Linked DNA regions of Danio rerio. The protein of the gene in region 2 interacts with the protein of the main gene of each other region in a pairwise test. Links are inferred from orthologs where the notes say so. Each region holds a gene or a part of one and is shown on either strand. Other genes may lie near its edges.

Region 1 (3,662 bases), about 39 Mb from region 2:
AACCCATGTAAAGCAGTTGTGTGAGATTTTAGATAGGTCATATAATAAATACTTAATTAAATTATTTATTTACAATATAATTAGCTGTTTTTGGCTTTAGTAAGAAAAAAAAAATATTATATATATATATATATATATATATATATATATATATATATATATATATATATATATATATATATATATACACACACACACACACACACACACACACACACACACACACACACACACATATATATATATATATATATATATATATATATATATATATATATATATATATATATATATATATATTAATCAGCATATTTAATTTCTGAATATTAGAATGTGACACTGAAAACTGGAATAATGATGCTGAAAATTAAGCTTTGACATTACAGGAAAAAAAACAATGTTAAAATCTATTCAAAATGTCAACTTATTTTAAATTGCAGTAATATTTCATAACATAACAGTATTTTTGTGTGTGTGTGTATATATATATATATATATATATATATATATATATAGTTTACAATAATTTATTATTATTATTTTACTTATCAGAACATCAAGAAGCTTCTGAAGATCCCGTACAGTAAATCTCATGTCAGCATGGCTGTTCATAGAGTTGGCAGCACTTTACTGTTGGACGAACTGGACATTCAGGAGCTCTTCATGAGGTCATCACAGGTAACTGGAAAAAGGGACTTATTTCTATAGCTGGACTAAGGGCCATATTAACAGCTTGCACCAGCACAAACAGATTTTTTTCAGGATTTACTAAATACGCACAGTGAGGAATTAGTGCTGAAAAGGCATGATGAGCAGTTGTTTTTGTGTCTGACCTTATTGAATGTGCATTTGTTGCTACAGTTACCCTTTCAGAAGCAATTGTATTTGAAGGAGTCACAATAAAATTTACTAACGTTTGCAATCTTCCGTTTATCTGTATTGAGCCATTACCTAATTACAGTACTTTAGCTATGATGACTTAATTCCAACCAAAGAGTAAAATATAGAGTAGGGGGGTGGGGTTTTTGCTTTCTACCAATCACTCACAGCAAAGTAATGGAGGGGCGGGGCTAAGCACATTTCATCGAAGCCACCAAACTGACACCGTCAGAGATTGACTGTTGTTTCAGAGTGGAAGCAAATGGCCAGATTTGGATTAAAGATTACCAAAACAAACAGGCTGTTTCTCATTATGCGTTCTTAAGCGATCTTCTGTCCTTGTGTCATCAACCACCAAAGTTCAGCTCCAAAACTCTAGACCACAAGAACAGAGGACGCTTGACAAAGCCCTGATGCATTCTTGATATTGAGGATGCACTGATGCAGACTTGAGCGCAGTACAAAACTCTGAAAGCTCCAGAAGTAATTATATATAAATAAGGCTATATAACGGAGGTGGGAAGTGCAGCATTTTATAACCGTTTATTGTTAAAGTTCAATGATATAACTTATTTATCTTAGGAGTTTTCCTACATGAGAAGGTGAAAGTAAATATTAATAAGAAAATATTTATAAAGGCATAAACGCATTAAGAGTGTTTATTTGCTGAAATTTATATTAAAATTGGTTATAATTGTATTGTGCAAAGAGTTTTTGTAAGGCTTTTGTGCATATATATATATATATATATATATATATATATATATATATATATATATATATATTTGTGTGTGTATGTGTATATATATATATATATATATATATATATATATATATATATATATATATATATATTTTTTTTTTTTTTTTTTTTTTTCACAAAAGGGATCGTTGTATGTAATGTTTAAATAATTTTCTGTTTAAACGCGCGAAGATCATGTGACCATCAGCAAGCACGCAGCATCTCATTCCTAAAAGGACGAGTTCTCTGTTCATTTGTTCGTTCTCCCGAGGTAACTTGGCCAGAAAGGCCTTCCCGATAATGCGGGGTCAATTTACTAGAACTTCTATGTTAAGCTGCTTTGACACAATCTACATTTTAAAAGCACTAAAGAAATAAAGATGAATTGAGTCCTTTCTCTGCGTTCTTGGAATTGAGAAACAGACAGTTTTTTTTCTTTCCAGATTTGCACAGATTAATGTTCACCTTAAGACTAACATGCACTAGCAAAATAAATATTTTACATTTTGATTTCATGCAGACTTTAAGCTCTCTTAAATATAAAACTGAGTTTTTAAGCCATGTCAGGTTTCTTAAATTTGACATATATTACCAAATTCCCAGCGTCAGTTTATAATGCTTTCTTTTTTTTGTAACTGCACATTTTTCCAAAAAAAAAAAAAAAAAAAAAAGGTATGGACAATATGGTGGTTGCTATATAGAAGTATTTCTTTTCCTCAGATAATAAGCATAGGGTCTTCTTATGTTCCAAAGCTCTGATTTGCATTGTGCTTTTTCTATTACATTGGTTGATATGTAAATAAGATGTTACGTCGTTGTTCTTTAATTTGCATGTTGCCAGTAAATCATCTCCAGAAATTTCCACACTGATCTGCTCTATTTTAGACTTTTTAGGCTTTCATGCTAATTTGCATTGTTCACTAAATCTGGCCCTAGATTTCATTCAGGCCCCTGCATCTCCATTTTACCTTTAAAGGACAATCCACCAATTCCTAAAGCACACTGCTGAGTTTTACACTTTTGTTTCGGAACGTGTCTCGTTTGCCTAGTTAGCGCGGTTCGAGTGGCATATGTGAACAGGGCAATCGCGCTCTGTTCCGCGCCAAAGTAATCGCTCCAAGATCGCTTGAGTGAGGTGGTCTCGGCTCGATTGAAACGAACCCTGGAGCGGTTCGATTGCAGTGAGAAAGCGATCCGATCCGAGCGCGGTTATATCACAGTGTTTTATGCATATGTAATAGGCTTACGGCTATATGAAGAGAGAGTTATGAGTAGGGCGGGAAGTTTCGCGAGTCTCCGGATGCCCGCAAACGAGTGATGATCTCCCGGTAATCTTGCGTCTCCCTCCCTCAAATAGGCATCGTCGCGCACCCTTCTCACCCCTCCCCACCGCGTCTCTCCTCAGACATGTCGCGCGCACGCACCTTGTCAATCACCACCAAACCACCACCTCTCCTGACAGCTAGGCGTGACGCTGCAAAATAAACCGTGACACTCTGACCAATGTAAGGAGAGTTTACTCGCACGTGACTTGTTTTAGCTCTTTTGGTCCGTTTAGAAACTTTGCAGTGTGAAAGCGAACCGCTCCAAGAGCAAATAGCAACAATGTAACAATTGTAATCTCTGTTTCGGAACAACTGAATCGATTCACAGGTGTGAAAGCACCCTTATAGTAGTATAACATTTATATATGCCTTTTAAAGTGTTAATAGTGTGCATAGTACCATCCTAAATATTATTTAAAATGAATATATTATTGCGTCTGCTTTCTAGACTAATGACTGGACGTGGCTGAAGGAGTTTTACCAGCGTCTTATAGACCAAAAGTGGCAGAGAAAGAAGAAAAGTAAAGAGCACTGGAACGAGAAGGCCATCCTCTCCAAATTCCTCTATTACAGGTCAGTAATAGAGACTTCACACCGATTCCATCCTACAAAAGCATTGATCACATTGACTTACAGCCACAATGCTCTTCTGTGTTGCAGTATAAACAGTGATGGGACTGCAGTGTCTGTGCCGTCAGATACAGAGCAAACAGGAG
Region 2 (3,662 bases):
TCAGAGTAAATTACTATACAGAACAAGATTTTAAGATCTTACTGTAGTGTACTGTATCATGACATTGTTCTCATCTTCTGGCTTGAAGTCGGTTTTCTTCTGTTCAGTGGTCAGGATGTACTTCATTTGGCCAATCATGCAATTCAGTGTCCTGAAAGCAAAGAAACTTGAGTAAAATTCACTAAAATTTCATTCAGTGCCACCAATGAAGTCAAGGATTACTCTGAACCAACCGATCAATCCCAGTGTCCAGCTTGACTTCCATTTGTTCGATCACCTCTTTCTTCTTATGCAAGCACTCCGTCAACTTAGGAGAGGAGCTATAGGAGTCAAAGTTCAGACAAATGTCAAAAAGAAAGTCACAGGGAAAAAAATGATAGAAGCTAGTGAAACAAAGAGGGACAAACTGACCTAATAAGAGGCATAAGATGATCGTTAAACTGCTTATCGAAGAGGTGAAAGATTGTGTTGGCCTGCTGAACCACATCCAGAAAGTAGAGGTTGGCATTTTTGGCATCTGCAGATGGGATGGCTGTGCAAGTCAGAACACAAATCACACAGAATAATAAGTCCACTTTAAATATGTTCTTCTGATTTGTTGGTTAAGAAAAAAGAAAATAGGTCAGGTAAAGTAAACTGGTGAAGTACTATTGAAGTACTTTTAGCGAAAATTATTATGAGGCTGAAGAAGTTTGCAAATATGTATAAAATAAACAGGTTGTGGATACATTTGGAGGGTGACGTAGTGGCACAGTAGGTAGTGCTGTCGCCTCACAGCAAGAAGGTCGCTGGTTCGAGCTTCAGCTGGGTCAGTTGGCATTTCTGTGTGGAGTTTGCATGTTCTCCTCCGGGTGCTCCGGTTTCCCCCACAAGTCCAAAGACATGTGGTATAGATGAATTGGGTAAGCTGGGTTGTCTATAGTTTATGTGTGTGAGTGTTTCCCAGTAATGGGTTGCAGCTGGACAGGCATTCACTGTGTAAAACATATGCTGGATAAGTTGGTGGTTCATTCTGCTGTGGCGACCCCAGATTAATACAGAGACTAAGCCGAAAAGAAAATGAATGAATGAATACATTTGCAAGACACTCATGGATATGTTTGCATTTAGAAGAAGTAAAGTTCTTTTTAAAAATGCATTGCACACTGCCCGACGAAATGAATTCATATTTGGTGCAAGTCTTATTTGGTTGAACTTGTGGATACATCAAGTTTAAAATCAAGCTTGGTGGCATAAAAGGTTAATTAGGTTGGCGTATCCATTTCACTCCAATGGTTATAATTTGACATTTTTGATTGAAATTTTTATTAAAGCATCATTTTTACAATAACCCTTGGTTTTTAGCTTTGTTCATTATATTTGCGAGAATAGAATTACTTTAGTTTTTAGGATTTTAGACATTTTAATTGAGGTTGATATTAATGATCAAATGGATTACGATGCCAAATGTATTGTCTACTGTATACAGTATTTAATTAAGTTTCAGAGTTATGCCATGAAAATCACTAAAAGTCTTGACCCAAAAAAATAAAAATATATAAATAATAATAATAATAATAAAATACCAGATGTAATATGCGCAAAAAAACATTTTTTTTTCTACAGAAAGAAAACAAAAAATAAGGAAGTCAGACAACACAATACTTGTTAGTATGGAAGTATGGAGACATGACTGCATTGTAATTTAAAAGAAGCAGGACTGACTGCTATTTCAAGTACATGCGATTATGACCGTTTCCCTGGTCATTGTTTGTATGCATCACTTCAAACAAACTACACTTTCAAGCCACATCTTATCACAATCAAACCACTCCAGAGTTTGTTTTAAAGAGTATCGAGACCACCTCTTCTAGCAGGTCTCAGTACACTTGTTTGGTCTGCTTTTAGCGCACACTTGAATGCGATTGCTGCATTCCCGCCTGTATCCTTATCCTGAAATGTTCGTTAAAATGTATATTATGCTGAAATGTTTGGCTTAGTAAACAGGTACAGTCTGCTCACTGCATTTAATCTAAGTGGATATATGTTGATTAACATAAAATTAATAAAATGGAGCTGAAAAATAGCTTTAACAACCATAATCAACCATAACAATAGGTCTGAAATAACAAAAAAAAAAAACCACAATTATTAATAAATGTAAACTAAAATTTGACACAAAAATCCCATATTTCATGACTTAGACAAAAAATCCTGATTTTAAATCCCTGCAATAGATCTTTTAAAATTCCATGATAATCCAGAAAATCCATGGTTGTGTGAACCCTGCAATAAACATTATACTGTACCTGACAGCCCAATCTCAAGGGCGTAGTCTATATGGTCCACACACAGGTACTCCACCAAAATCAGGAAAATGGAGAAGGCATTCTTTGGCAGATCTGCTGGGTCTGACAACTGCAACAAAGACAGTCCAATGTTTAAGGCCCACAACTTCTAAATTCAGGTATCATAAGCAGTGATGAAAATTCCTATACCTTGTTGCATCTCTCAAAGGCATGCCTTGTTTCTTGCAAAAGGTTGACCACAACTTCTTGTGAGAGCAAAGTCTCTCCATGTGTGTCAATACTGGGTCCCAGAGGCAAGTTCGTGCGTTGTCTGATTCTCTCTTTTAGCTCCTGGATACTGTTGACATGAGAAGAGAAGATGGAAAATAAAGGTAAGAGAAATATAAGAAAAAAAGAAACCAAAGAAACCAACAATTCCTCACCTTCCAGTGCCTACAGGTCGTTTTTGGTGGTTCTTGGAATCATAATAGCGCTGAAGAATCATGCCGCTGCGGTTCTGCAGATATTGCCGCTCCATGTCTATATAGCTCTCCAGATAACAGGAGAAGATATTCTTTATCAGCTTAGATAGAAATGTGTGCTTGTCTGAGCCCAAGTTATAGTCTGTGAGTTTAGCAGCCAGTGCTGTCGTCCTAAAAAAAAAAAAAAACGGTTCAAAACGGGTTAAGCAAATAAATGACACATTAAAGCTTTCTAGGCAGAGGAAGCTGATGATAGCAGACTGAACAATTGCAGTAATTGTGAAATTAAAAAGAAATATACATTGATACCTTGTGTAGAGGTCATAGAGGTTCTTGAGGTATTGCTCCACATCAGAGTTGCGCGTCTCATCTAGTCTTTCTTTCACATGAGCCTGAAGTTATGAAATATGTTAATAGGGTTATTTAAATAACAGATAAATAACAGTTCAAGCATGGGTAATCTATTTCTTCATAATGGAATTTCAGCTGTCAGAAAGGCAGCCAGCCCTCAGCAGTAGTTGGTTTTTGCTCTGTGAGCGTTAACTAGAGCAGGGGTCACCAATCTTAGTCCTGGAGGGCCGGTGTCCCTGTAGGGTTTAGCTCCAACTTGCCTCAACTCACCTGCCTGGGTGTTTCAAGTATACCTAGTAGGACCTTGATTAGCTTGTTCAGGTGTGTTTGATTAGGGTTGGAGCGAAAAACTGCAGGACACCGGTCCTACAGGAACAAGTTTGGTGACCACTGAACTAGAGCATCTGAAAGCTGCGTCAATTAGTGGATTATTCATATATGCACGGTCCAGCTGATAAGACATTGCTTTTAAAGATTGCATCTGTGTCACTCAACAGAGAGCATGAATCAATGATCATTTTAGTCAATCACAGACATTTCTTTAGAGCGAGTGAACTCAACA

Evidence for each region. The genes of interacting proteins can lie anywhere in the genome.
Region 1: the proteins of exoc5 (region 2) and edrf1 interact in binary tests that used the Homo sapiens proteins (3 or more experiments, as listed by UniProt). The two-hybrid records come from large-scale screens. The link is inferred for Danio rerio from reciprocal best matches to the Homo sapiens genes EXOC5 and EDRF1.

What each region holds. Positions count from the first base shown.
Region 1 is NC_133192.1:9,908,416-9,912,077, forward strand, and holds part of edrf1 (erythroid differentiation-related factor 1), read left to right. Parts: intron 1-552; coding exon 553-678; intron 679-3,394; coding exon 3,395-3,519; intron 3,520-3,606; coding exon 3,607-3,662. UniProt on the Homo sapiens protein: Transcription factor involved in erythroid differentiation. Involved in transcriptional activation of the globin gene.
Region 2 is NC_133192.1:49,407,203-49,410,864, forward strand, and holds part of exoc5 (exocyst complex component 5), read right to left. Parts: intron 3,142-3,662; coding exon 3,059-3,141; intron 2,921-3,058; coding exon 2,711-2,920; intron 2,626-2,710; coding exon 2,478-2,625; intron 2,398-2,477; coding exon 2,289-2,397; intron 533-2,288; coding exon 412-532; intron 321-411; coding exon 234-320; intron 152-233; coding exon 43-151; intron 1-42. UniProt on the Homo sapiens protein: Component of the exocyst complex involved in the docking of exocytic vesicles with fusion sites on the plasma membrane.